Linked DNA regions of Lepisosteus oculatus. The protein of the gene in region 2 purifies or fractionates together with the protein of the main gene of each other region. This does not show direct contact. Links are inferred from orthologs where the notes say so. Each region holds a gene or a part of one and is shown on either strand. Other genes may lie near its edges. The genes, in order: zbtb18, fbxl17 and zbtb10.

What was found.
Region 1: the proteins of fbxl17 (region 2) and zbtb18 purify together in Homo sapiens (co-immunoprecipitation; 3 studies listed by BioGRID and IntAct, with this or other methods). This does not show direct contact. The link is inferred for Lepisosteus oculatus from reciprocal best matches to the Homo sapiens genes FBXL17 and ZBTB18.
Region 3: the proteins of fbxl17 (region 2) and zbtb10 purify together in Homo sapiens (affinity purification with western blotting; 3 studies listed by BioGRID and IntAct, with this or other methods). This does not show direct contact. The link is inferred for Lepisosteus oculatus from reciprocal best matches to the Homo sapiens genes FBXL17 and ZBTB10.

What each region holds. Positions count from the first base shown.
Region 1 is NC_090712.1:1,252,111-1,262,518, forward strand, and holds the start of zbtb18 (zinc finger and BTB domain-containing protein 18), read left to right. Parts: upstream 1-5,758; 5' UTR 5,759-5,961; coding exon 5,962-6,478; exon of another isoform or gene 6,479-6,581; intron 6,582-8,166; exon of another isoform or gene 8,167-8,666; intron 8,667-9,204; exon of another isoform or gene 9,205-9,563; intron 9,564-10,408.
Region 2 is NC_090698.1:57,057,685-57,067,963, forward strand, and holds the start of fbxl17 (F-box/LRR-repeat protein 17), read right to left. Parts: upstream 4,152-10,279; 5' UTR 3,943-4,151; intron 1,545-3,942; 5' UTR 1,525-1,544; coding exon 835-1,524; intron 1-834. Other genes in the region: prxl2c (peroxiredoxin-like 2C), read left to right, coding at 5,596-5,775, 6,161-6,229, 6,771-6,824, 7,164-7,269. UniProt on the Homo sapiens protein: Substrate-recognition component of the SCF(FBXL17) E3 ubiquitin ligase complex, a key component of a quality control pathway required to ensure functional dimerization of BTB domain-containing proteins (dimerization quality control, DQC).
Region 3 is NC_090705.1:39,776,231-39,786,393, forward strand, and holds the start of zbtb10 (zinc finger and BTB domain-containing protein 10), read left to right. Parts: upstream 1-6,195; 5' UTR 6,196-6,737; coding exon 6,738-7,481; intron 7,482-10,163. UniProt on the Homo sapiens protein: May be involved in transcriptional regulation.

The DNA.
Region 1 (10,408 bases), on a different chromosome or scaffold from region 2:
GGCTGAATTCCACCCTGGATGTATACCATCAGGCCTCCCCTGCCTTCCCTAGATTAAACTAGTGATGTCATTCCCCATTCCTCACCCTGGTCTAGTGTGCCGTGGGGCTGCTGGTGCAGAGTTACTGTCATGTGTCGCCACGACACAGGGGAAGCTGAGCTTCAGTGGAGGATGAAGTTGTTCCCCTCTTATTTTCACACATTTAGCATTTTGAAACCATTTGGGATGAAAATGGCTTTTAAATGCACAGAATTATTAAATTGCCATTGTTATCACAACCACACAAAACTGTGGTATTTCATCACATATGCCGACAGCTTTGTCCAAAAATCAGCAGTTTTCTTTATTCTGCGTTTTTGCACACTGTGCCAGTATGAAAGAGCACATATTTCAAAACAGCTGCAACATATTGAAAGCCGGCATGCAATAGTAAAAAATGTGCCTGCTTTGCTGACTGAAAAAGCTTGCCATATGAAGGTATATGGATTAGCCACTTAAATTTCAATTGCATATGGCTTCTGGCAGAGTTCTGCAAGTTCTGCTTAAAGCTGTTTAAAAGCCATGCAAGGTATGCAAATCTCGACGAACTTTGAAATTGGACAGGCTTTTTCACAGCAACCCCTTTATAATCGATCGATCCGTCAGGGGCGCACTAATGTAACGCAACGTGTACACAAGCAACCCCAAGAAATGGGCTGGATATCTTCGGATTTTAAAGCAAGGAGAGATATAGGGGATGAATGTAAATTGCACTACTATCAGGGCATCACAGAAACAAATACCAATTTTTTAAAAAATCGGATGGAGAAAGCTGACCTCTGGAAACGTGGTTGCTTATTGTGTGCTGTCTGTACCCTATTTTGGATCCATAAAACGAGACGTGACACTTAAACAAAAGCTCTGGGGATTCACGTTGTCATTAGGAATTGCAAGTCACCATGATGCCTCATGTGAAAGCCCTGAAAACACCTGCACACCTGTCTGGGCGTCTATTTATAGACCAGTTTTCTCCCCACAGACACGCGCCGCACTGTCGCGCCCAGGTGAGTTTAGGGACGAAGTGCGGTTCTGTTCGGGGCTCTGCTGGGCACAGCTGTGGGTCGGGGCTGGAATGAATTCAGTCAGCTGTACCCAGGTAGCCAGCGGCCAGGGCGCACCTGCTGGCTCGCTGCCCATGTCGCGGAAAACAAGACGCTTCTCTGGAAAAGGCAGCCGCGGAAGTCGGCATCACGCGGAGGAACGCGCTGCTGTCCCGCAGCCGCGAGGTGTGAGCTCGCCGCAGAAAGCGGACCCGGGTTCACTTAACGGGTTGTGAGATACAATCCGGCTGAAATTTCAGCACAGTTGAGTGAGCAGCATTGAGCCGGGCCTTCTGTGGGTTGTGGTGTGTATAGAACAGATAAAGACCACGAGGAAACAAGCCCCCTCCATGTTTGGCTGAATTATTGATATCCTCTGGGCCACCCTACCCTTCTGCTGTAGCTCAGTCTCGGGGCCGTGTAATAACGCACTGGACTCCGAAAGACACGGCCTACACAGGCTCCTGCTTTTCGCGTTGGTTAGCTTCCTGTTTGTACATTTAATGTGTTTTAGAGATTCTATTCAAATTTCACCTGGAAACCGAAAGCCTGCCAGATTCCGAGCAGATTGTCAGACACAGGACCTTCAGTAAAATGGAAAGACATCTCGCAGCGTTTGTATTAAAGAGAAAACACAGCACCACCCCGTACCAGCAATGCAAGAATTAAAAATATTTTATTTCTAATTTTCCCCGTGCTTCAAAGATATAGACATTTTGTTCCATGAAAGACCAGACATCTTTGACACACTGGACAGCTGCAGGAGAGATGGGGGACGACGGAAATGAGTGAATAATTTTTTTTCCTAAGCTCCGTTTGAAATAACTGGTACAGGAAATGCAGAGGAGGTTTCTGGAAGACTTGCTCCGAGTCTCTGTGAAGAAATGAAGAGATTTGATTTCAACAGCCACGGCTCTCCTGTATCTGCGCTGGAACAGATGGAACACTCCTCTCGGAGTGCCATGTCCAACATCAGACACATGCAGCCTCGCCATCGCCGTGACCGTACAGGTGACTCAGCTGTAACCTCAGGTGGGGGCTCAGAACGCTCCTCGGCCGCACAAAAATTCAGACAAGACGTTAATCACTTGGGATTCTGGGACAAAGTGAAAAACTTGCACTGCTGATGCCAACACCTGGTAGCATTGATTGTGTGTTGACATTGTGGTACTGTACCAACACTTTCTGAAGGTCTGGTTGTTTAACAGTACTGCCTGTGAAACAGGGCGTTTCTGAAATCTTCACATCGACCTTTTATCATCAGCAGACAGCTGTCAGGGGTTCAAGAAGCCAGACTCTGACGGAAAACTGTACCTGTTTCCGGCAGATATCTGATACGCACACATAACAGAATTCACTAGGAAGTGTAAAAAAGTGATTACTTTCTTACACAATGAACACGTGGAATTCCCCGTGCTAATATAAATGGTTCTTCAAATGAAACAAAAAATGAAGCTAGTATGTATAACATAGCAAGATTTCTAAAAGGACCAAGGAAATTCTAAGCAGTTCTAAAACAGACAACAGTAACCCACACTGGAGATCTGGGATGGGCCTGCAGCCCATACATGGCAAAGAGCTGAAACAAAAACATGATGAGACTTGTTTCTATTATACTTCCTATTAAGACAATAACATAGAAACACAACATGTCAAATAGAAACAAAAAAGATATTTAATTCACACACACATATCTGGAACATGACCACCTTCACATACGGGATATGCAGCGATCCGTGACACAGTGGTCTATCACACAAAACTACGGGAAAGGAGCGGACGTTTGCCCAGGATCTTGGCAGGAAAATCTCATTTCAGGCCGGGGCCCGGGTGAGGCGCACACACGGCACAGAGCGGCTATTTTCCAGGTCCTCCCAGCAGATCGGCGCCTCGGCTCACTTGAAGATGCCATTCCGCTGAGCTGGGCTCGTTCACAGGGAGGGCTCCCAGCTCTGCTGGCTCCGGTCCCAGTGTCCTAGTTCTCCCGTCCTGCCTCTGTGATCACTGGCATTTACTGAACAACACAACTTTGTACATTCTGCTGTGCAAATGAAACTGCAATTAATTAAACAGTTGGAGGAATGTTTTCCAGATACTCCTGGGCTAATTTGACTGTGCTCCACGCTTTTTTTTTTCCTTACCCTGGATTAGACATGGGAGTATTCTCCCAGTGCCGTTTCAAAAGCACACAACCAGAATGTGTTTTTTTCAGGTATTTTGTTTAACTGGAAGACCTTACCATTAGCATTAAGCAGAGCAATTCACCAATTTTGAAGAGTACACTTGAGCTTTCCCTTAGTCTTAAACTCATCCGGTTTAAGTCTGAATAAAGCTCTACTGTAAATACACCCCTGCCTCTGCTGCCAAGATGTTTTAGGAACTCGAAAGGCTAAGTTATCACCCCAAAAATATCAGCCAGAGAAGAAAACGTGACTCTGTATCTCCCGAAAAAGGGATGTCTCTTTTGAATTCTGCTGTATTTCTGTAATATACATAAGAACATAAGAACAATTCCAAAGGAGAGGAGGGCATTCAGCCTATCTGACCCTTGTGCTAGTTAGGAGTTAAACTGATCCCAGGATCATATTCAGATGTTAAGAAAAAAACAGGGTATCGGTTTCAACTTAGCTGGGCAGCTTTATCCAGACCCCCACCACCCTTTGTGTAAAGGAGCGCCTCCTGATCTTGGTTTTTAATGAACCGTATATGCTGAACGATGTCAGTAAGAGCTACAGCTTGTGAACAAGTGTATCCCAGGCTTTCTGCCCAAACTTCACACCCCCTGCGTCGCCTCTGTTCTTGTTGTCACAGCGCCTGGGCTACGAAGAGCACCCGAAACCCTGTCCATGCGCATTCTTACACTTTCAAACATGTCGTTAAAGTTTATACGTTGTCTTCAGCCGGCGCGCTACTTGAAAAAAAAATATGTGAGCGTAGTAGATAACACTATCAAGGCCATTTTAACACACAGATAAACCGTTTACAGATGCCTTCCATTTCAGGTCTTTCACAATCAGCAGTTTATTATTTTTGAATTCGACACGGTTTTGTTCTGCTCTAACCTCTGCTCTGCCGGGGTTGGGGTGCAGGACTGTTTGCAATCTGTCGCGACGCTACCGAGACAATCGCGCCTGTGTGTCAGAAACGGGAACCTCGTTTCTGCGCTCAGCTCCGAGTCTCTACCGGGATTTCAGAAAACTGCTGAAAACGCTAGACTAGTATTTAAAGCTATCAGTCAGTCAATATTTTTAAAATATTTTTTTTTCTCTGCGGGTCGTCGGAGGTGTTGTGAGATTACCTGTAAACAGCAGTTTACAGCAAATCGGAAACTAAATGTAAATTTCGTCTGACATTTTAAGCGCACAAAAAAACCGGGGTGACGTTTAACAGTCACTTAACTGTATTCCTAATCATTTTACTACCTGTATCGATCATAGGTTATCGAATGCTTACATTTATCATTAAAAGCATGCAAAGACAAAATGCCTTAGAAATAAGCAGTCTTTTCAAATAAATCCACAAAATTGTTTTAATAAAAATATTAAGCTTCCTTCTGTAAGAACCAATTCATGCTCAATTTTTACGTTCTTATGCTTTGATTTATAAACAATTTGTTATGTTTTTTTTCCTCCTGTTAAGCCCAGTTCAGCTGAAAAAAAAAAACAATATTCGCTATTCTGCTTTCCGGTGCAATTCTGGTGAAGTGTATTACTTCTCAGTTGGTTTCGCGTTACCAAAGCTTTCCTGTGAGGAGTGAACGTGAAATTTTACGATTTTTATCGCGCAGGCTTTAACAAAAATAATTACCCGGGAATAAAAAAAAACACACACGTGTAACTAAGCGTCAATCCCTCGAAACATATTACAGCTACCGTTAAAAGACTGGATGAGGAAGTTCAATTTGAAGAGCGAAAGCGGAAAATACAGAACTGAATCTCTCAGCAGCGTCTCTGTAACACATTCCCGCAGTTCCAGTGAAGGAGTACGGACTGCGTTTGACAAGCGCGTCACTCATTAAAAAACATTTAAAACGCAGTTTTAAAAAGACCTTTAAACATTTGGTTTAAAACATTAAATCGTTGAGATGTCAATTTAATCACATTTCATCCGTTTTTCTCATGCCGTACTTGAGACTCCAGTTGCCCCTTTGGTCAATGTCATTGTATTTAAATCTAAACTGTGGAATAATTTCCGATCATGAAATAAAACGATCTTACTGTCGTTCCGCACTCTCTATTTCAGTGGCTACCTGCTGCAGGACACATTGACTTCAAACAAACGTTACAAATCGCGCCTCGCAGTTCATGACGAGTAGCGTATCCTTTTAATCTGTATTAAAGAAAAGCAAGACATTGGGGAAGCAGACGGCGATACTGATGAGTCGTCACGGCAAGAGACTGTTCCTAGAAAGAGAGGCTACAGTATTTTAATTAACAAAGTCGTATTTGTGTAACTTCAACACAATTTCCGTCTCTTTTCAGATTTGAAATTGACATCTTCGTGAATTCGCGTACGTTATGATACAGTAAATGCTTTATTATATCTGTCTGGGATACAGCTGTCAAACACAAACAGCTATTTTAAGGATAATGATTCACAGCTGCTCTCTGACTCGAAGAGTGCGTTTCACCGCGGTCAGTGAGTAAATACAGGCTGTAGCGAAATTACAAGTCAATTAACCGATTTTAAGACAATTCCGACACGCGGCTTAAACCTACGCGCACATAAATGCTGAAAATAACCTCGACAGCATGCAGACACTGGGAGTCATTTTTTTGCACATTTCGGTACAGTTCGTGGATGGTGTTACACTCGGTCAGGGTGGGGAAACGCGCACACACACACACACATATGCAAACGCACACACACACAACCTGCGCTCATGCATGACCGGCACAGCGGACACGGGCTTTCCCTCCGTCGGTCTTTACCTACGAACACATCCAGCACACCCTGCACAGCAGAAACAGCACAAGGCGGCGGCCTGGCGGCTCCGCTCTCCCCCGGCCGCGGCACCTGTTCCCTGCGGCCCCGCCAGGACTACAACACCCAGGCGCCACCGCGCTCCGGCTGCCCGTCTCGCTCCCTGCGCTCTGCGCCAGTCCGCTTGAGGAAACCAGCTCGCTTTGGCCTTTTTTTTCTGCCTTCTCACTGTTGCCTGGTGTCAACCTACGCCGAACAAACAGACGTCCCTCCCACTCCCCCCTCCCTCTCCCCCCTCCCCCTCCGAGCGGCCGCCTCCGATTGGCTGGCGCGCCGCGGCCCGCCGCCGCCATTGGCCGCCGCGGCCGCCCGTCACGGCGCGTCCCCCTCCGCCGGAGAGTTGAGTAGCAACAGCTCGGAAACATCTGGCTGCCGCAGCTCGTCGGGTCCCCGCTCTGTCTTTTCTGCCTCTGCAGGTTGTTATGGGGAGCAGCGGAAAGTCGCGGTAGCTCTTTTTGTTGTGGTCGGTTTTTTCCTCGGCGAGCAGGGAGGGGAGGGCGACGCGGGGCACCGCTGCCTGTGAGTACGCCGAGCCGCCGGGGTGTTTCGGGCCGGGAGGGGGGCGAGGGGAGCCGAGCGAGGAAGCGGCGAGCGAGCGGGCGGGCGGCGGGGGGGGCAGGCTGCAAGGAGACGGAAAAGTAGTGATCTTCCTGGGGCGCCGCTGCCGGGGCAGCCCGGGGAGTTGCGGGGCTCGCCGCTGCGGGAGACAGCGCTGGCGGGGCCTGCAGCCCGGCGGGCAGCGGTCGGGCAGCGCCGGTGCCTCGGCTACCGGTCGTGGCGTGGCGTGGCGTGACCGTGTGCGCCAGTGGGCTGGCTGTGGCTCCTGGGTCCCCCCACGCTGCTGCCTCCGCGCCCGGGGCGCCGCTCAGCGCGGGGCTGGAGCTGGGGGACAGAGCGCCCTGCCCAGGGCGTCCCGGGAAGTTTGGAGAGAAGTTCGCTGTGAAACTGTTGCTTCTTGTGCGGGTTTCCCTTTTGTTGTTGCTGCTGCTGCTGCTGCTGCAAGGGTCGGTCATCTGTCACGCGTGAGAGGAGGCTTCTGCTCTGATCAAGGAGCAAAGAAAGCCTCGATCCCGGGGAGGAAAGTGACACTCAGGGGCCACAAGGACACACGTGTTTCCTTGTTTGCCCCGGCGCTCTCTCGTCGCCCCTCCGCGAGAGCCGGGAGCCCCGCAGGCGGTGTCGCCGGGGGCCGCCGCCGCTGTGCCGGGCGGTGAGGTCGCCTGCAGCCCGGGCAGGGGAGCTCCGTGACCTCCGGCGGGCTTGTAGGAGCCGGCCGCGGCTCTTGGCGATGTCCTGAGGAATTGCCGAGCCCTCACCCCCACACCCGGGCCAGAAGCTCCGAATTTACCCCCCTGTTTTCGGCAAATGTGCCCACACGGGACCCCGGGGTGGAGCGGGTTTACAGGTGATTCAGCGGTGCAACTTCTGACTGCTCGGATGTGAAGAGAAATGAGAGGAATGTGGGCGATATTGGCCATTAGTCTGTGCTCGGTGGCGGCCGGCGACAGGTGCCGAGTCGCGTGTGGTGTTGGTGTCGTGCGGTGTTACCGGACCGGACGGGTCGGGTCGGGCCACACGCACCGGTCTGAGGTTCCGCCGCAGAACACAGACCCCCCTCCCGTCGCCCCGGCTCCGGTGAGCTCCCGTGTGGGGTTTGCGCCGAGTGAAACTCGAGGTGTCGGCGGCCGCAGCCGAACAGGAACCGAACCGCGAGATCGTCACCCGCGAGGGGGAGCCGGATACTTTCAGGCGCGCCGCTGCAGCAGGGCAGCCTTAACACAACAACAACAAAACGAAACTTGGTCAAAACTCTTCTGGCTTGCGTATTTTATTTTATTTTATTATTTTTTTTTGGGGGGGACAGTCTTTCCCTGTCTTCTTTTTCTTATTTTTTTTAAATCAGTTATCCAGTGAATGGCGGCTCTGGCGAGGGCACTGAACCGTAAAGAAGTCGAAAACAATATCAGCTGCAGAACTGTCAGTTGCAAATCTGCGGAGTGGGGCTCTGTGGAGGGTTACTGGCCGGGGGGGGGCGGTTGTGTGTGTGTGTGTGTGGGGGGGGGGGGGGGGGGGTTGGGGAGAGGAATGCACACTCCAAAAAACTGGAAGGATTTTAAATGCATCCCTCCAGTAATGCAGTAAACCAGGCTAGAAAAAAAAAGTGTCAGACCTGTTTGGTAAAGTTGTCTTTCCGTGCAGATTGGAGGGGTGTGTGTGTGTGTTTTGAAGTGTATTTGTAATGGGGGGGGGGTTGACCAGTTCTCCCCAAACAATTCGATGTACAATTTCTTTTAAAGAAAGGGAGGAAAAAAAAGTTGTGTAAAGAAGAGGCTGGTGGCAAGAGTGTAGAGGAGTAACATATGGCATTAAAAGGAGCACAGCTGGAGGTAGCATTTCCATCTGAACATGATGTCAGAGCAGCTGACAGACTGCCATCCCCCCGCCTTTTATTCTAGCACACAGGCAGGGAGTTAGTGTGTGCGGCTCTGCGTGCGGAGAAGGTATCTCGTTCGCTTCCAGCGTCCTCTCCACTCGGCATCTGTCTCTCGGCTCGGCGGAGGAGCTGCGGCCGGGGCTCGGTCCGGTTGGTGCTGCCTGCAGCAGGTACGGTAGGGAGGGCTGTCAGGGCTGATGTCCGCGGGCACGCTGGCTCTGTGATTGTTCCAGCGTGCTCGATTGTTTGCTTTTCGGGACTCAACTTGGTAGGGAGGTGGAGATGAATGGGAAACTTTTTTTTTTTTTCCGCTTTTCGCATAGTGCATCCGGAATTCAATTCCTGACGGCAGTTGTGGTATTTGAGTGCCCACAGTGCCTTTACCTTCCTTTTGTTGTAAAACAGGCTGTTGATGTTTGTGTCTTGTACACAAGAGATTTTTGTTTTATTGCAGCTGATGTATTCGTTGATGCCACTGTGTGTTTTAGGGGAGAGAAAAAATCGGCAGGAAGAATTCCAGCTAGGGAACGAAAGAACTTTATTCTCTTTTTTTTTTCTACAAAAATAACGATAGCCCTCAAAAGGGGGAGAGTATGTAAAGCACAGAGGAAAAAGTCGTGACTTCAAAAGAAACCATGCCAGGCTGTGTAGACAGGTTTTTTTTTCCTTTTCATTTTACCCATCTAAAATAGCAGGGTAATTATTTGAAAGCATTTCTTTCCTTTTTTTGTCATAGTGACTAATTTAGGACTTGCAGATTTGAGCTGCCTGAATTGGCCAGACAGCTGTAATCGCACTCCTCCTAGTCCTAATCTCTTTATCTGGGCAGCAGCTGCCATATGGCCACAGTCAGCTGGATCAGATGTTTATAAGCTTCCTTCTTCGTCCCTCTCTGTCCTTTCAGCCTCCTAATTTGATCGCTGCTACCTTGTGAGCTGTCCTGCAATCTTTATTTTTAGCCATCTTAAGGATTAGGATTGATGTAGACTACAGGGCACTTAAAGTGATTGTATTGTAAATCTTCTGGGTTTCCTCTTTGAGGAAAGATGTGCAGTTTCTCGAAAGAGGTGGGGAAAAAAAATCAAATTGCAGGCTTTTCTTACAAAGTGGAAGAAATGCCTTGCTCCATAAAATGAGGTGATATATAGTTAAATGACCAAACCTGGAATAAGAATAAATACTAATTTGGTTTTTATTTTTCTGTTTCACTGAGAAGAGTCCATATAGTTAACAGGTGGTGTTGTTTTCTAAGAGTGCTTTCTGCTGGGGCACAGATATGAGCAAGCTTTTGGAAAATTATTTGAAATTGGACTTTTGATTCTGTGATTTACCCAGTGTGAGTCTTTTTTTTTTTCCTTAAATTTGGAAAAGGATATAAAAAGAAAATGTTTTTCATGGTCAGGTGCATGTAAAGTATGTTCTGATTCAAATTTGCATCTTTTGAACAACTGCATACTTTCTGTATTAAGTGTTGCACAAAGACAGGGTTTGCTTGGTTTGTGTAGCTAAAAGCCTCTTACCTAAAACCCAGAGCAGGTTAGAATAATAATAAACCCAGTCCTTGCCCAGAGAGAAATCAGGGGAACTGTATCCGAGCTGCACGGTCCTGTAGTTACGCATCTGTCTGTGTGACTGAACTACAGAAGCTTTGTGTTTTAGGCTTGGAATCAGTCACTGGTCATGTAGTCATTTTTAAAGTCTGTGTAATATATTTGTAATACTGAAAAACAAAATCTTAAGGGCAACTTCATTTTCTGACGGTTTAACTCCATCTTTAAAAATTACAGTTGAATATTGTAGAAGAGCTACAGTACAAATCTGAAATGACCTCCTTAAAGCTGGTTAAATAACAGAATTGCACCAGTCGTTTTTTTCTTCTTGTTGTTAAGGGAACCAACCTGGTTTGGCAGGA
Region 2 (10,279 bases):
ATACAACTCCTTTTCCTTTAGCTTTTTGTTTGGCAATGCCTTATATCGGGCATGCACAAACAGTCAGTTCAATCTAATTCATTGAGAAGGAGTACAGTTAATCAATTAACCAGCAGAAACCAGAGAAAGTTTAAACCGATTTTTCATCCGTTAAAATTTCTCCACTGCTACTAGAATGCGTCATCAGTGCATCTCTCCGACGGTGCCAGAAAATTGAGTATATAGTCCTGAATGCTTTCCGCACACAAAAACTAGAAAAACACACACCTGACTATGTCTTCCTGTAAGCACGGTCAGGAATATCTGTACTGATACCAACACTCTGGGAATCAGTTGCTAGGTGCACAGACCGGTGTGAATGAATTAAATTGACAGTTTTCTATTAATGCACTTTTCATCTAAGTACGCTGTATAATAAAATAACATCCTTACACTAACAAAGTGCTTTTCTGGACACTCCACCCAAAGTGCTTTAGAGGTAATGGGGACTCCCCTCCACCACCAATGTGTATCCCCACCTGGATGATGCGCCAGTACACTCACCAGAAATCAGCTATCAGTGGGGAGGAGGATAGAGTGATGAAGCCAGTTCAGAGATGGGGTTTATTAGGAGGCCATGATTGGTAAAGACCAATGGGAAATTTGGTCGGGACACCCCTACTCTTTTCGAGAAACACCCTGGGTTTAACGAGCACAGAGAGTCAGGTCATCGGTTCTACTTCTCATCTGAAGGATGGTGCCTTTTTACAGTATAGTGTCCCCATAAAAATATCCGAATAAAACTCAGGCAGTACCCCAGCCCGCAGGTTCCCCCTCTCCTCTTTTCACACTCACGTTTAGCAGGATCGACGCAGGGAGGTGGTTGATGCTGGGCATGTCGGCCTCACACGCTTTAGAGTCACCCTGGCTGTCGCTGGGCACCAGCGGGGTGCTCTCGGAGGGGCTCTGGGGGGTGGCGGTGCTGGCGGTGCCGGCGGGGCTCTCCCCTGAGCCCGTCGGGAGCCCCCCAGTGGAGCCCTCCGAAGAGGACGAGGAGGGCAGGATGCAGAGGGGGAGGTGGAACTGAGGCGGCGGCGGCGGCGGCGGCGGCGGCGCCACGGCGGCTGGGGCGCCGCCCGCCCCGTTCTCGGCCGCCTCCTGGAAGGCGCGCCGCGCCTGCTTGCAGGGGGCGCCCCTCTGCGCCCCCGGCGGGCACTTGCGCTTGCAGACCATCTCGGAGTAGTCGCCGGCGGAGACGGTGCGGAAGAGCTTGGCGGGGACGCCCGACAGCAGGCTCTTGCCTTGCTCCTCCCACAGGGCGAGCTCCTTCGGGGACAGGAGGAAGCGGGCGCAGTCCTCGGGGGAGCCGAGCGCGGCGTACCTCTCGGCGAGCTTGGAGGCGCTCTCGAGCTGGTCCTCGGCAAGGCTGCTGGGGTTGTGGACGATGAAGCACAGCATGCACGGCCCGTGCAGAAAGCAGTTCCTCCGCAGCTTCCTCTTCTTCTTCTTCACGCGCTTGCCATTTTTAGAGAGAAGATGGCCCATATAGATGACTCAGGGTGCCTCTGTGGAAAAGCCCAGTGGGGGGGGGGAACACACTCTCAGATAAAAGGCAAGGTAAGGCTGTGGCTCGCTTACAGCCAAGATGGGTGTTGGGGAGAAAATCGGAATCAAAATCCGCTTTATTGTCTACAGACAGCCGACATTTTCCTTTGGCCTTGCACATGCCTTACAGGAAACCTCCAACGGACTTTATAAGATGTATACAATCAATGCAACTTCAATCATACAATGCAGTAGAAAAAGTACAAAAAACACAAGACGCTGTCAATACAAGCACTCTGAAGGGGCTCGCTCATTCATCACAGCTTGAGTAATTGGGACTCGGAATGAGCAGCCTAAAATGTCGACCAGATGGCAAATCAAAAATCAAGCCGTGCAAACATTGCTCGTTTTGTATATCTACACAAACTGTGTGATATCACAAACAGGACTGCTTACACTCAGGCTACTAACATTACAAACACCTGTTGACTATGATTCAACGTGTTCCACATGACAACTTTGCCATGATGTTGAAGCTTCTTTCAAGAAACGGCTGGATGAGATGCCCTCGGATCGATTAGCTACTGGCTGTCAAGCAGGCCAGAGGGGTTAAACAGCCTCCTCTTCTTTTAAACCGTTTTTATGTTCTTAAAGCACTGCTCCAATCCTGTTCCTGTAAGATGATGTTAATTATTTTCTATTTTTCTATTTCTATTTTGGAAGGGAATTACATTCTTAATTCCCCAGGCCTTGGCTGACCAGCCTTTCTGTTATTCCGATTCAAGAGGCAACACAACTGTGTTGTCAATCATTTAAGAGCCAAGTGTTGTTTCCATTAGGCTATCTAGGACAACAGCAGTGAGCTTTGCTTTCCACCCACCGATGTGATGTGCTGTGATGTGAAACAGCAATCTGAGTACTCTCAAAGTACTTTCACACACATACAGGCAAAGACCTTTGTATCATCTGAGCTTAGTCTGATAAGGTTTAATAGACAGTGACACCTCACTGCAGAAAACTATTTTCCCTTTCCCTACCTTTTAGAGGGGATCCTGACTGGGAGACATTCACTCATAATCCCACAGATGGCAGCTTCGCATCATTGGCTCCTCAGCCAAGTTATGGATGACAATAACTACACGTGCATTTTATCTCCAGTGAACATGGCCCTAAATGCTAAGCTGCTCTGTTAGGATCCACTGTCCTTTGAATTGATGTGCTCCAATTCATTATGCTTAGTGTAAAAAAAGGTGCATATTCACTTTCAACAATGAATCAATAATATTGGAAGCCTTCCACAGAAACACTGAAGGAAGAAAGGAATATGTGCATTTTTCTAACAAACGCACCACTGATGTCTGAACAGTATACAGTAGTTCATGGCGATCAAAGACAGCAGGTGAGGTGATCAAGCCTAGAAAGCAGTTTTTGGTGCTATGGGTGTTATTCAGAAACCTACCTGAATGCTAAACTAGTAACCTTAAATGTGCTGAAAAATGAGACTGGACAGATCAAGCGCATTTACTGCCTTGAGTTTTATGGTCGCTGTTCATTCAAAACTACAGGAAAAGGCTAACAAAAATCACATTCCAAAAACTGTTGTATCTTTTTTGCACGAAATCTGAATTTGTTGGAGACAAAGCAACATATTAAATTAACTTTGGAATCATTGCGTTTATTACCACAAGTGCAGTAGTAGAACTGCCTTTATAAAATCATACATCAAAAATCTTGGAAATATTTTAAGGCTTCAAATGTGCTTGTTCGGTAGTTCTACACACCACACAGTTTGGGACGGGATTTTGAAGAGCGTTATTGGTTTCAACTGATCTCTTGTATACACATCTTGAAAACTGCCTAAATAGTACTGTTCAGGCATCCTGGTACTATGCAATTTTCAGCATTTAGTGTTGCAGGTACCAGATGTTCGTCTAATAAAATAACTATAGTTTTATCATCGATGCCTTGCATAAATCATAACCAAATTTATTATTTTACTTCTTCCTAGAACTGATCACACACCATTATTCAAAATACATGAGCCGTGGGCTCCACACTATATTATGCAGCGAGCTGCTTTTAAATTAACAGGGGTATTGCCAGCAATGACCTGACATGTACTTGTTTTAGTACAATTTTTATTCACACCGTAAGTACTGGGCCTTCCTCGAAACTCAGCAAAAATAATCATTATTTTGCCTTCACCTCGAGAAGCTGAATTCGTGCATGACAAAAATGATTTAGACATCTCGGAACACGAGAACAGGCTTGAAAGGCAAGGTCGTTAAGTGTTTTTTGTAAGTTTTTAAAAATATATATAGCAATACAACACATTCAGCTGGCAATGTCTAACCTGTAAGAAAAAAAAAACAACTTTCTAACTGAATTTGATGAGAAGGAACAGTTCGTCTTACTTACAGCAACGTTTTCTCAACCAGTTCACACAATTCCAGTCGCCTTCAACCCGTGCATTCATAATCCACGTATAAAACACCACCAACAGCTCGACAGACTTAAAATATTGCAGACACAACGCTATGTACGAACGTGTACACACATCATATATATGTTATTGCTCTCTGTGGAAAGTGTTCCGGAATAAGCACAAGAAAGGAAATCCTGCCCCCTGCTTAAAGAGTGATTGGAAAATTCCCTGTTCCTCACTCACGAGTACTGCCTCTTTCCTTGCTTTTTAATTGGAGGACTTCCCTGTCAGTCAAGCCAGGGCTTCACAGACTGCATGTTCACCTTGTCCGTCAAGTTGGTGATGCCCGCCTCCGTGCATAGCAACAACGACACTGTATCGCTAAGATAAAACACACATAAGAAATAGGTTTCATGGTTTGAAGGGGTAGGAAGGGAGGGAGGTCTTCTGTCATACTCACTATAACTGCTACCGTTCACGTTTTATTTGTTAAGAAAGAAGTTGCCTAAGGAAATTCGTCTAATACACGGTAGATTAAATAATCAGTGGCGTATCATTTGGAATAAAAGCAACTCACAAATATCAGAAATGCTGATTATTTTCCAGCATATGCGTACTTTTCATTATCATACACTTTAGCCTGGCACTGCGTGTCAAATTAATAAAGAATTCGTGGTAACCTTTATGCTAGATGTCTGCCAACCAATTAGAAACGTTGGGAACACAAGCCTGACTACTGTATGTAAAGACATAATTGTTTTTACATAGAAAATTATATCGATTCCATTCAAAATATTGCTTTTCAGCTTTAATGTATGCTTTTATGACAACAATTATTTATTTTAAAATACTTAAAATAAATGAACATGCTAACACAATTGAAGATAAATACAGAGACTGGACAAGGGCTGCAGAATATCCAATTTTGCTCTGATTTTTATTGAATTTCGATTTTCTTTTTAAATAAAGGAATGAGAAATCGGTCCTTCTTCAGAAACATGTCGCTAACTGTTCGGTCTGCAGACCGATAATTGAAAGCATTGTCTGTGAAGTGTTGTCGATTCCACGCACTGTTTTATTTTTGGTACTATATTACTATCATATTTAGTAGTTGCAAACAACAGCGCGCTGTCATAAAAATGCACAAAATGCAATACGCCAAATTGTCGCTAGGCGTCATAAAAAGGCTACTGAAATAGCATGAGATATACGGTATATTTTACAACTATAAGGCTTAATATTTTTCAGTGTTCTGTTGCTGCATATCATTAGTGATTTATCTTAAGTCGACAATAACTCGGTTTTTGTCAATTAACCAGTTATTTGTAGCAGGAGCGATGAAACCCCTTTACCAAATGCGGTTCTTCACAGGGCCGCACAGACGCATAGAGATCGGAAGGAAAAGCTTAAGAAAGTAAAATGAAATAATCGAGATGCAGTAAACATTTATCAGTAGTCCATAGGGGCATGTATTAATTCTGTTTCCAGATGTGCGTTATTTCTCCATGAACTCGGTTACTTCACTGCACATGAACTTGTTAATTTTGTGGGAGTGGTTTCTGAGTTTTTGGACACTTTGCAAAGCAAGCCCAAAATAGCTCGGACAAGACTTGAGGGAAAAAAAGTTGTACTGTAAATGGATTGAGATGGCTGCAGATCTTCCCGTCACACAACAAATCGCCAGAGCCCAGCAAGGCCACCAGAAAAACCCGGTTAATATTCCGATCTCAGAGGTTGAAGATTGTTTTGTTTACAACCGGCACGGGAAACGGATTCCTTTTAAAAGTTTATATGACGACAAGAAATCAATCGTTATTTTCGTTAGGGTAAGAAGCTTTTTTCTGCTACCAGTTCCGATGCTGTAAAAGCCCTGTTTTAATACCGAAGTATTCAAACGTTTCAATACAAGCATTAGAGATCCGATTTAAAGGAAATCTGCCTTACGAGTGAGAAGGATAGTGCTGATACATTAAACCAGAGGTGTTTTATTAAAATGCAGGTATTATATACGTATATTTTTAAATGATTGCATTGGAAGCAGTATCCGAAATGGCACCCTTTTCTCGTGTTGGTATACTTTCATTTCGATTGTGAACTCTTGTTAACTGAAGTAAAATAGTTCGTCGTGGATTTTGCATCTAAAATATAAATAGCCTATGTTCAATTGTTTCTAATTGTTTCAAATTAAATATTTGACTTTTGAATTTATAGCATTTTTTGTGTTACACATGCAAAGAGTATGTGGAAGATCTGGCCAAAATACCTAAGAGGTTCCTCACAGTAAGTAGTAGAATTATTACATTTTTAAAAGTTATTTAAATTTATTTTGATTATTTTCCATTATTTGAAATGTGAATGGTAATTACCAGCAAACAACAAAAATGCCTTATTACAAGGCACATCTCATAAAAGAGCTTAGATTTCTGGGAATAAAAAAGCAAAGGTTATTTTTTCACTTGTTGTTAGTACAGTATATTTCAGCTCTCAGGAGCCAGAAGTTCACTTTAATGAATAGCCCACCTGCTTCATTCATCAATATCTTTACAGCTGTTGGCAATCTTTTGAAAACAGATGACCTGTAAGAATAACTGGATTGGGGCTTTGCACAGGCCGGGCTGGGGGTTCAGACCCTCAAAATCGTAAAAATAATTTTCTAGAGGAAATTCTAAATATTAAAAGATTTAACCGTGTGACAATATATGTCCAAAGCATAGAGTTGCATTTAAATCCTAAATTCCCAGAGTTTCTGCTCCTTTTCAGTAGAAAATATATAGTTCTGTGGAGAATATCATGGTTAAACTCATATTTATTTCAACAACAGGATGCTGATGTCAGGTTGATAGTAATTGGACAGTCTTCACACCATCACATTGAGGTATGTGTGTTCCAAAAGATGAGATAGGTCAGTTACATTACAACATTGTATTAATTTATGATTAACACAGTGCTATACAAATTGGTGGCATTCAGTACCCTACTGTGACCTGTTTTCTAAACATAACGTGAAATGTCCTCTCTTGTTCACTAATGTCATAATCAGACCTTCTGCAATGTTATACCCTTCCTTGCTACCAGAAAGTTGTTAACAAGGCCACCACAGATTTGCAGTTCATCTGAAACATCAAGTACATGTTCTCCTTTAGAAAATGCTAGACGTGTCTGTGTATTTTTATGCATCACTCTTACTTATATTACATATGGGTCATACATACAGGCGTTCTGCGCACTGACAGGCTATCCACATGAAATATATGTTGATCCAGAAAGGCAAATTTATAAAAAACTTGGAATGAAGAAAGGGGAGGTGTTCACAGAGTCAGGTAATTTTCTTTTTTTTAATTTTGAGATTATATACAGTATCTTCCAGATACGTGCAAATAACAAATGAAGGATTTAGATGACTTTCAGTACTGTAGAAGTTAAAGAGGGAGCTGTGTTGGTGTGTGAGTTGCAAAGTGACAAGCAGGGGTTGATTTCACACTGAAAATTAAAAAGAAAGGAGGAAAAAAAACGTTTCAGCTACAGAGACCACACACCCGAACAAGACTCCAAAGCCTTTTTTCTGCTTTTCTGTATGGATTTAACCTTTCCTTTTTTAATAATATGTGTATAAATAGAACATCCATCAATAAAATTGCAAATAACTAATGCAGAAATGTTTGAATTCCCTGGTGAGGAGTATTTCTCTATCCCTCTTTTGGCTCTGATGACTGGATTCTTCAACCTTTCAGCCTCTTGACCAGAGCTGAGCCTCTTCAGCTTCTCCACCTTGTGCAGTCTGTACTTGTGATCTGCTTTCCTCAGATCATATCATAAGTGTCCTGCTAGAGTCTGCAATGACACATCATGACCTATCATTTGGTTTTTGCGCTCTCGTGACCATCTGGTCATTAAGTGTGGTGCAGACTTCGAAGTGGTATCCCTCTGTAAAGTCAATTTGAGACCACACTTAAGTTTCTTGACAGACGGCACACACTGTTGGCTGAAATACGCTAGTAAACCTTGGACTCCACCTGCCCCTCCATTCTGAGCAGCGTATCTGGACCAGACAATAGAAAACAGCCCTAAAGCAGGACAGGTCCACTTATCTCCTTTACAGAGGGCAGGACATTTGTTTTTCAATGTGAGAAAGAAACATTTTTCACGTTTCAGATGCTGCTTGTACTGCTGGCGAGCCTATCCACAATCTCAATTTGTGTTTCATCCAACCACGGGATTTGATATAATTTGGTTCTGGGGAGTCAATAAGTTTCTTTTCAGCAAGTTCATATCTCAGCTTTTTAAGATGGTCTGTTAACTTTGCAGTATACATCAGATTACTGAAATCGCCCTGCTGCCAGCATTTTAGGAAGATTCACAGTTATTTGGTACTGGTTAGCCTCCTTTTCTTAATGCCCTCTTCTTCATGAGGTAGTGATCATCTCATTATTGAACCTTTCACCAATGGACGCCTCCGTCAAAATTGAAATGTCTTTTGTATTTTTTAGTCATTACTAGAGCTGAAGGAAAATGCATGAGAGAGAAGCTACTGCTTATAGAGGTTGAATATAATGTAATTGGAATCCCAGAATTATGGCTAAAAGAGACTGATGATGACCAATACAACATTAGTTGATCCACAGATTTCCAGAGAGATGGGAACAATGGAAGATAAGGAGGTGTAGCAATGCACAGTACTGTACATCAAAAAGAGCATTCAGGCACAGGATATTAACTTAGAGGAATCAAGGGTTTCTGAACCAGTATGGATCAGGCTTATAAAAACATTCAAAATGTACAATGTTAGAAGTATGCTACAGACCACAACATTTAGACATTGATTCGAAGGTAACATTATTTAAATGAAGTCAGCAATGCATTTGTAAAGGAAGAAGTAGTCTTTATGAGAGACTTTTTCACATAGTCACAATGTCTTGGGAAAACCAACTGCAGAAGTAGTGAAATATTTTAAATGGCTACTCACTGCGTCCTTACATGGTTTGACACAGCACCTATAAAAGGGAATGCCCATATTTGTCTACAAGATAGCATGTAGAAAACAGGTGTGAGAATCATTAGGAACTGTTATGATAGCACAGTGTACTGTCAAGTTTATTGCGAAACTACAGGTAGAGTCCAGGACACAAAAGAGAGGTAATATTCACCATCCATGAACAAAAATTTACTTATAAATTACCTGCGAATTGCTAATTTATTGCCCATCCAAAAAACTAAAAAGGAATTATAAACCCGATAATTATTTTAATAATTATTTATTACAGTATAAAGATCAATAATTAAATTGCTTCCTTTTCTTTTTGTTGTGAAAATGATAATTATTTCACTATTATGATTTAGGAAACATAGGTCTTACTTAATTGACTCGTTAGAGTTCTTTGAGCAAAAGAACAGTATTGGGCATGCACAGAAAATACAATATGGCTTTTGAAAAAGTTCCACATAAAAGATTCATTTTTTAGTTTTAGGACTGCTGCTTTCCTAATTTAAATCTGTGATCTGGTTTCTGGTAAAGTTAGTAAACTAGGAAAGTTTGCAGATTATACCAAATTAGAAGGATAGAGAAACACAGCAAAGGCAATTGAAAAGCATTTACTGTAGACAGTAGGCCTGGGTCACTTTAAACTAGGTAAACACCTGATAAATGATATTGTAACGCTTACGGCCAACAGGTACTGTGTAAGAGCAGGCGTACCAGAGCAGGTGACATCACCGCCCTTCCCTGTGATAGCAGGACTACAGCTACTGGGCTGTATTGAGATCTCTCTTTGGCTCACCGGGCTGGGTCCCTGTTGAGTGACACGGGAGTCCCGGGTTCAAGCCGGGTGCGGGGCTGACCTAATGCGGCAAGGGCGCCCGCCTGAGCCCCCGTGGTGTTACAATATTAAATGTAGACTAGAGCAGAACAATACGTGCAAGTTGGAAAAACAAACTATAGACATAAAATGGGAAACATCAAGTTTGAAGAAGCCGCCTAGGAAAAGGACTTAAATGTTTGTGTAAACTCATAATATCCATCTTCTACACAATGTGGGGAAGCAATTGAAAGGCAAGAAGAATGCTAGGATACATCCTTAAAATCACAGAATTCAAAATTGTAGGATATTATGTTAAAATTAATGCAATGATTTAGCAGGCCTCATTTAAAACATTGTGTATAACGTTGGTCACCACACTACAAAAAAAGATATTGCTGTTCTAGAATCAGCCCAAAGAAGAGCAACCAGATACAGTCTTGGGATTAAAGGAATGTTGTACACTGGTCTCTAATCATGAACTGAGATTAGTATGATGAGATCTGATTCAACAATTCAAAATCCTCAAAGTCATGGA
Region 3 (10,163 bases), on a different chromosome or scaffold from region 2:
AAACAGTGGCGAGAGACACGTGGGGCCGGCTGGGGGGGGCTGTTTGTAGTCCGCGGTGAGTCGCTCAGCGCCCCCCCCCCCGCTTCCCAGCGCACGGTTAGGCGGATGTCGGTGTGTTTTCCGTGGGCTGTGCGAAGTGGCATTTCAGCCGCGGAAAACCTAGAAGAGGTGCTTTCGTCACGGGGTATTATTTATACCTAGGCATGTCAGATACCTACAAATCAATCGATAAAAGAGATATACGATGCTCGCCTAAATGGAGATGGTACCGTGGTACGCAAGGTGAATGCCGACTGCGACGAATCTGGCTGCTTAAAATTACCCACCGAAGGCAAAGTAACAGACGCTGCCCTCTGCAGGGTGATAAAATGCGGAATTGAGTCCGGTTCCTGCTGAAGGTAAAGAGTCCGAGAGCTCGGCGGGGCTGGAGAAGTTCAATAACGCAGCGGTTCGCCATCCTGAGTCCCCACACCTGCCGGTCGGCGTCACACGGCTGAAGCCTTCCTCGACTTCATAACAGGATTCATTTAGGACTGTTCTCAGCTCTGAGACATGTTGACGTTTGTCTTTTTAACTACTGCATTTCACGAGAAAAACAAAACCCCCACCCCTTTGAGTGAGAAAAACAAAAACTTGCAATATTCGACTCAAACAATGTGTTTTTTTCTTCACATGCTGGAATATTCAGCTATAAATTGCATTCCAGCTGAAGCAGCCCTGTGATTCATTTATGAATACTGATGACACCTTCATTCTTGCAACAGCTTATAATGTACTATTATATATGACCATGTACATTTTGGAGAAGTGTGTTCAGACATATTTTAGCGAGGGAAATTAAATTAAGACAAGTCAAAGGGGTGTGACTCTTTTTAATCATCTTCTGCCATATACGTGTCACATCCATTTTTTTCCATTGTAATTTTACTGTGATGGAACTATCCACGAAGTGGTTCATGGGGTAAGTAGGGATACTGAGGAAGAGACACCGTAGGTAATTTTTATTTACATGTAGTAGAATTAAATCCCATTAAAAATGCTTTTATCAGGGTCTTTTAAGAAGTAAGCAGGTTCATTCATCTGAATACTACCTCATGCCAGTCTTGTGGCTGTTGTCCCATACCCACAGTGCTGAAACGGTGGCTGAGTTGGAAGACCTTGGACACAGGGCGGGTTCGCCCCGGTCAATAGCGAGCTTGCGGAGGACAGCACATCCACAAAGGCACCTGGCACACACCGGCAGGTTCATGGGCTTCTGGGAAAACTGGCCCTGGCGTGTTTTTGTGCATGCCCTGCGATGGACTGGCATCCTGCCTGGCACCTATTGCTTGCTGGGATAGGTTCCAACTCCACCGCAACCCTTTATTGGAGAAAGCAGCTGGACAATGGATGGATGTTTTTTCACATGTGCAGGCCTTCCTCAACGTTTAATTTTACACTGCTTTTGGCAAAACCTCCAACATCTTGTGTAATGCCATCTTGGTACTTTGCTGGGTACCAAACTATGGCCACATTTCATCTGTAGCGAGGAACCTTTCTGTCGGAGAGCAGGAGTATCGGAAATCTTCAAATTAATTTACTGAAGCTGTTGTAGAGGCAGCTTAGCTGGCTCAGCTTCACTTGCAATCACTCCCATGCAGATAACGACCTCTAAACCTGCAACTTTTAACACAGGCTGACCCCGGTGACCCCTGGCAATGTCACTGATGATTCCTCAGCGTGATAGCTGGAGAACGCAGAGTTTCAGTTGATCAAACTAGACCCACGTGTAGTGATGAAAACTGGATCTCTCCTTTTCCTATGCAAGTGAATAGGGTTATGGAGTTCAGAGTATAATCAATGGCTACATTCCTAACACAGGTCAGTATTACTTGAAAGCACTAAATACTTCCTGCATCGCAAGCATTGGAGTGTTAAAACTTTTACAAGTTTATCATTAATTGACACAATTACAGATATAGGTACAATCCTGTTCCTGTAACCCAGTATATTGAAAGAACTGTAAGGAATTTATGACTTTGCCCAACACAATTCTGATAAGACACGCAAATCATCACTCAGGAAAAACCAGAGGCCCACCTTCCTCTGACAGTGAAGATCCTCAGATATAAATGAGATGTCCCCAGATAACTTTGTGTACATTATAATGTAGCCTTCATGTACTGTAAATGTAAAACTAATGACCCTTGCCTGTTTCACTCAAGAATCTGAAGTATGCATGGTTTTTCTTACTGAAGTCAACGCGATATGCCACATAAATTAAAACCTAAAACGTATTTAAGGCTTGTGCCGGAGGAGTATTTCAGCATTTAATTCAAATCTAATAACAAATTATCGGGAGTATATGCACACACGATCGATTTTGTAGATATCGATCTACAGCAGATATGAGATTCAGTTTATCATTGGCACAAATAATCATTCAGAATTCGGGACCTCTTTATTGGAACTCAGTGCGCCACATCAGCGGCTCTCCGGACTTGAGAATGACCCAGGAACCCTGCTACCAAGCACCGTGTCGTACTGGCTCGGTGTATTTGACCTATAGTGACGGCTATATAAAACATGAAATGTTCGAACTAAAGAAGATCAATACGTAAAAACGCACTTTAGAATATTTTCAGATCCTTTACCCAATATCTTTCTACGTAGTATCTATGCGTCCTTAAACGCGTTTCTATTGTTAACCGAAGCCAAAATGTCAGAACCGTTTAAAAGAAAATTTTACACCAATTCCAGTTGCAATGATGGTCGTCCCTTCTCAGCGACCCCCCCAAAGCTGTGGATATTTCCAATCGCCTGAAATAATCTAAAAGGACAGAACACATTAGGTTTATTGCTATCGTTTAAACTAAATAAAAGGGTAAAAGAAAATGTAAATAATAATAATAATAATAATAATAGCTTATATTTATATAGCGGTTTTCTGGACACTCCACTCAAAGCGCTTTACAGGCAATAAATGAAGATCGCTAGCGAGATCTTCAGAATGAGACTGGGAAATCACTATAGAAAACGAATCATTCTAAAATGCTAAGAGTCCACAACCTGTGTTAGGAGGACGTGGATGTATTCATTTAGAAATAGCTCGATTATACAACTCAAGCTATTTATGCCATACATTTTCGAAAATTGAACAAAATACCAAGAGCAAAGATAATTTAACTAGCCGTGTGAAGTCCCACCATTAATTATTCAATCTGTGCATTTACAGTGCTTGTATATAGAACAGCTAAATGTGCAGCAACGCCCGTTAACATAAAATACGCGAACAAAACTAGAGCATTTGTTTCCACTGAAACGTAGGAAAAATGACCCACTTTTTGGTAACCCTGTACACGCACGATTTACAGGACTCGTTCTTGCCAGAAATGCGATGAAGCTACAAAAAAACTTAACTACAACCCTCTCTGGAAAAACAAACAAACTGATAGCAGTTTTATGCACTTAACAGTAATTTGCATGTTTCACATGAGGCGTGCTAGCAACTCCTTCACGACTCTACATGTTAAATACACAGTATCGGTTTAGTGCTATTGTTCAAGATCAAGCTTTGAATCCTGAATGCAAATACAGTAAATGAACAGTTCGCAGTTGCAAAATAGAAAAAAAATAGATTTAGCCACTGTATTTTACCTATTTGAGTGCTTTAAACACGAAAGCTCCTTAATCTTAAGATCACCTTCTGCTAATTACAGTGCCTATATGGCTTACTAACAAAGGACATACAAGTTGTAGCGTTTGTGAATATCATAAATCTGCTCAATTTACAAAACGATTTACATGTAGATGCCAGTTTATAGTAGAGGGTTAAATACTGTACTGCGGTGAAAACATTGCGTTTGTTTTCCATTAACTCGTATTTCCTAAAGCGTTAAACATTACATAGAGACGCACCTGTAGCCATTTAACGTTTAAGGAAATTGCCCCTTCTACACGAAGGCACAATCATTTCTGCCCCGAGCAGTCCAGCAGTTAATAGAAAAGGGCAGAAATTAAAAAAAGGAGTCACATTAGAACATGTTGACTAAAGTAGTTTTCGCTACTAAGTAGCTAAGTAGTTTTCGAGGAAAAAAAAACATAGACAGGAGACTGAATAAACAGTCTTTGAAGTTCGAAACTGGTTTTGTATATTTAATTATAACACTAAAATTTAATTTATCCCCCCCGATAAAGAGCGTATTTTTAAAACAATTTACATTTTAAAAAATGTATGTGTGGTGTATTTGCTACGAGGTGAGTAAAACACATAAACCAGCGCCTTCTGCCTTAGTAAGATCTCGTTTTCTGGTGTATTGTATTGACATGTGTAGGGCACTCACAAGTATTGGCTACAGTTTTTAAATCCTTCGTACTGTTAATAAAGAGTTTTAAGGTTCTCCAGCATTGCAAAAAATGTCAGAAGCAACAGTTTGTTTTCAACGGGCCCTGCTTCATGGCATAGGCCAACGCAGTCCCAGAACTTCAAGGTTGAGTTCATAAATCCTAAAACCTAAATATGTGACGTTATACAGTACGTGTAGAACACGTTTTTTTTTCTTCCATAGTTTAAGTGACTCGTAACCGTTTATTACAGAAATGCGTTACAGGAATTGATTTGCTAAACTCCAAGTGAGAGCAGATCTCGGGGTGTCTGTATGCACCAGCCGTGCTAGATTGCTTGAATTGATTCTTGAATACTTTATAGGACAGCCAAGGGCCCTCAAGTATTTCAGCTTTTACCATCGATCGTGCACACGTTTGTTTTTTAAAGAAATGTTTTTTTTTACTATGCACCCGGCTGAGGGGTAAAAGAAATGGCAGGCATAATACAGGAGTACAGAAGTAATAAAGAGACCTCTGCCTAATTGAGCCACTACACAGTAGTTAACAATCCTGCTGTCATGGAGAGCACCGTGACAAACCGTAACAAGATAACGCCACGGATTATCATGTTCTTCAAAGAGAGCGTCTTCAAAACGATCTCCTATGCGCACAGGGAGGACTTGAGCTCGGTTATTTTATTTTCTCCAGGGTACAGTGCCACCTACTGGACCGCCCGCGCCAGCGCCATTCTGCCAAGGCATCACTAATCAAAGCCAGCCTGGGCTCACCCCTCATGTCCCACCCGAGCCGGACACGGCTCTAAAAGACCCCCACGGGTGGGAGAGCTCATTGCTTTGAAGCAGCGTCCTCTTAAAAGCAGCGGCTCGTAAAATCGATTTCAGTGGAATGAATCTTAAAAAAAAAACACACACACACAACAACTGGTAAGATGCTGTACAACAAACATTGTGTACAACTTCGACCGAGAAAATAGATACGTTTTATTCATTTGACAAATCCGCTTTGTGCAATTAAAATCCCATGTCTTAGGGTTGGAGAAGAAGTGGATTTTATCCATAGTGGGGTAGTGGGTAATACCCAGTCACTGGGGGGTTTAGGGTTCAAATCCCAGGTGACACACTTGGACGAATAATTTAGCAGCAATATATCTAATTATCCTGTACACATCACATACGCCCGCTGCAAGATCTTCGAAGGGCTTCACAACTACATTTCAGCCTAAGATGCCATTACGATATAAATTATAACTATAACACGTAAGATGTCATTATAATGAATAATACGCATATCCGCTTGTTTGGGGAGTGTGTAGGTCTTGGTCTGGCCCCTTTGTCAGCTCTTGAGAGTCTAGAAGTCGTTTGGACCGTCTCTCAGTACAGTCCTCACGGTGTGTGTGTGTGTGTTTTTTGGGGGGGGGTCTCAGAAATTGCTGCCTCGCCACGCTTGTAAAATAAATGCTTGGAGCTGAGCGGTGTTTTTTTTTTTGTTTCGTTTTTTTTCTCTCCCCCCCATCTCTCTCTCCGTCTTCCAACATAAGCAGATCCTACCGCTTCGCTAAAAAACAACAACAACAACAACAACAACAACAACAACAACGCGTTTCCATCTACCGGGGCTAGACGTAGCAGTTGAAGGGGGGACATTTAACTGTAGTTTCGGTCCTTGCCCCGCGGTTTGGCCGCGGTGCTCGCCGGCAAGAAACCTCCAGCCTACAGCTCCGGAGCGAAGCGCACCGGGGGCCGCCGGCTCACCTGCCCATTATCCGCTCCTGAAGAGCCGACACGGCGCGCTAACAGGCAGGTTAGTAACCTGTCGTGATGCGCTCTCTTGCAGCCAGTAATGATGTAAGGTGGGAGAGAGGAGGAGGAGGAGGGGCTGCTGCTTCTGCTTCGGCCGGGGTCCCTGGGTGTGTTTTATTTCGAGGTCTCCAGTTTGCACAAGCAAAAGACGCACCAAGCGAGGAGGAGGAGGAGGAGGAGAAAAAAGTCGGGTGCAGCGGCCGACACACAAAAGCCCCCCTCCCCATCCCGACCCCCCGGCTGTCAGGAGCACCCCCACCTTCCTCCGAGAGGGCCCCCCCCCGCTCCCCGCGAGCGAGATGCATTGTGGGGAAAGTCGTTGGCATTCGACCTCTGCAGGGCCTGCGCGGACGCCGACAGAAGAGCCCTGAAATTCATTATGCGTTTAAAACCTTTATTTATTTCCGCATAACCTACACGGTCTCGCCAGCAGGCCAGAGAGAGAGAGAGAAAACAGGCCCCCCGCCGTGTTGGGGAATAAAAAAAAAGAAAGAATTCGGGAAACAAAACAAAAAAAAAAACTCAGGAAGGTGCGGAAACTCTTCTCGACTGCCTTGCCCGGCCGGGGGATTTCGTAGCGAGAAGTGCGGATTTCTAATTTATCGCGGAGAAATGTCCGGGGAAAGGAACCGCAGGTCGCTGGCTTTCCGAGGAGGTGGATTAGCCGTCACCGGCGCCAGCGGCGTCGGCGGCGGCCACGGCAACAGCTGGGAGGCCCAGGCCTGGCAAGATCGGCATTTAAACGGGAACAGGCCGGAGCAAGAGGAGGACCGGGATCTGGGGGCGCGGGGGGCGTCGCTGGGGACACTGGAGGGTGGGGGGTCGATCAGCGACAGCACGGAGGCGGAGGAGGAAGAGGACGCGGAAGGGGCCGGCTGGGGGCTCGGGCTCCGGGAGGACGAGCGGGTCGCCCACCCGGGCGGGGACGGGGACGGCAGCCTGCCCCCGCAGCCGGCCGCCGCCGCCGCCGAGGGCGACCGCCGGGAAGGGGGCAGCAGCGGCTGGGGGGCCGGCGGCGATGACCCCCTGCAGGACGACGACGGGGCCGGCGCCGGCAGCGGCGGCACCGCGTCCGGGGAGGACGAGCGGGCCGACGGGGAGGAGAGCGGGGCCAGGAAGCCCTGGGTGGAGATGCGGCCGCAGACGCTGCTGCAGAAGCACTCGCTGTTCCAGCGCTCCTGGCTGCAGGAGTTCCCCTGGCTGCGCTTCGGCCAGGACAGCGGGCTCATGTCCTGCGCCTGGTGCCGCGGCCCGGGCGGCGACGAGCTGGCCAAGGGCAGCCGCAACTACAAACGCGCCCTGCTGCTGCGGCACCACCTGTCCGCGGAGCACGGCAGGAACGACCCCGACAAGCAGGTATGGAGGTGGGGAGAGGGAGGGGGTGCCACCACCACCACCACCACCATCACCATCGTCACACGCTTGTTTATTTTTTATTCTGGGGGCTGGAGGGAGGGGGGCGTCGCACCGCATCACTCTTCTTCGGGAGACCGATTCGGTGAAGCGCATCCCCCCAAAATAAAAAGCCTAGTCTTGAAAGTTGCTTCTGGGGTGGGGGGTGGGGGGTGGCAACGTCTTAACGCGTAACGGGCGTTTAATCTCGTTTTTTTTTCCCCCTTCTAACTAGAAAAAAAACAAACGAACTAAATTACCTAGCTAGACCCCCGGGGATGATGAAACCCGGACGGTAACCCCCCCACACACACCGGATAAACACTAGTGTTGCCCCCCTCACCACCACCTCACCACCCTTTCCTTTCCCCGAATTCAGCGCTTTTTTCTCTGGTCACGGATGAACGCCGTGATCGCCAGTCCGAATTTTCTTTTTCTGCCTCATTTGCTTAATTGCCGGGGTGTGTGTGTGCGTGGGGGGGTGTGGGGTCACGCTGCGTGTTTCTCGGGGGGGGCGCTGCACCCCCCGGCCCGGCGTGTTCCCCGGTGACCTCCGCCTCGGCCTCCTGTCGGGTGCAGGACCAGGAAACGCGATGTATTTTTTTATTTTTTCCCCGTCGGCCTAAAACGAACTCCAGGGGCGACTCAAGGCGGCGTGCTCCTGCCTGTGTGTGTCCGTCCGGTGCGGAAGTAGACGCGCTGTCGTGGGATTCACGGCTCGGCCCCACGGGGGCTCGTGTTTTTCTCGGAAAAGGCGGACGCGTGAGGTATTAATTAAAGCGGCCCCGCATGGACCCCCCCTCTCCCCCAAACGCCGGCCAGCTCTGAGGCGCAGGAAAGTCCGAGGCGTGAGCGGCCGTGTGGTGTTGACTGGTGTCACTCCGGCCGGCGACACGTCCGGGTCCTGGGAACTTGTCTGCACGTCCACTGTGCAGAGAGAGAGAGGGGGGGCTGTATGTATATCTTGCGCTGTTTCGTACAAGTTGGCAGCCCCAGACTTTCCACAGCCCCGGGGAAAGCGCCGCATGCGAGAAAGAGAAAGCATGAGAAGTTTTTTTTTTCCCCCTTCCACGCAAGGTGGGACCGACCGGTTCGAACCCCGCAGCCGGCTGGCTTGCATTAAAAAACAAAGCGCCTTCTGAGAGGAGCGGGGTGAGGGCTATCCTTAGCCGGCGAGCCGTGAATCTGCCCCCCTCCCCAAAAACAAAAAGGCCTTCAGGTGAATCGCTGCGGGTTTGAGCGTCTCTGAAGCAGCCGGCGAATTGGCGAAGGTCGTTTAGTGAAGTAAATCGATGGCACGGTGGTTGGCGTTGGTAGTATCGTGGGGACCTGGTTAGTTTTTAAAAGTTATTCCAGTGAACCAATCCTGATTTCAGGCCTCACTCGTGGGCGAAAATAATAAAAAACAAACAAACTGCACGGCAGTTCAGTGGTCTGTGGATTGCAGTTTCTACCGTGGCGAGTCTATGGGAAGAGGCGATAATGGAGCTTGTCCACTCGCTCAGTTTTGACCTGGTCTTAAGTGCTATGAAAGCTAGTAGGTGTTCTGAGAGAGAGAGAGAGAGCACACTTCCTCTTTTAACAAGTTGTCTGTAAATCCAGACACGATCGGACTGCCCGAGTCATTTCTTGATCTTTATGTCAAGGGGCTCCAATCTTGTTCATAAAAAACAACAACAACATGGTAAACATCTGCAGCCATGCACGTATAGTTATTGACGAACTGCGTGTGCACAGCGGTTTTCATCCCAAGCACTTGACGCATAGGAGGAGACTTCATCCAGCGGTGGAGTGGTTCATGTTATGAGCCCGCTGCAGGGCTGCTGCTGCCCTAATGAGAGGGGAGAGGGGAGGAGTTACTTCTCCAGTTGACGTAAGGGGGGCTTCAGGAGGTCAGAATGGATGAACCCACAGTGGGATTTAGCCAGGACACTGGGATTAACACGCTGGGAGTTCTTTGCCTGGGGGAAGCTGTACCTACAGGTACTGGGTGACTGGACCAGGCTGTTCTCAACACCCTGGGGTGTCGGAAAAGGGACCCTTAAAGACAGGGACCCCTTAAAGACACCGTGCAGTGCTGAAGTAAAGAAACAAGTCTCGCTGTTGAGGTCAGGAGATCCCAGACTGGTCCTTTTCATTGCATGAGTGTCCAGTAGTTTGTTTGAACCATTAACTGAACTATTAATTTGTTCAGTCTGTTTTGCTTATCGTATGCCTTCGACACCTGCAGATTTCAAGATGATTGCAAGTAACTTGAAACTTTATACCGCTCAAGAGTCCATTGTGTTAAAAAGAGAGGCCATGATACACCTGAGTTCAGTTTAAAGTGTCAGCGCAGTATTTGAAGGCCCAGCTGGTACCGAAACCCTAAGACGCAGGAGTCGCAGCCTTTTCGTATTTTCAGGTTGCGTGTGCGCGTGTGGTGAAGTCCCCTGCAGTTACCGAGCAGGAAATAAAACCACGATAGATGCCATCATCTCGCCCAATGACCACGTCAGGTCCTGGTAGTCGTGAGGTCACTCGGCAACCGCGGGTCTCTCTCTCGGCCGTTAAAGACATAAACCGGCAGCTTTCGAAAGACGCTTCTTTGCTATTCCTGTCCTGAAACGAAACTGGTGGGCCGGCTGGTGTCTACGTTCATTCTGT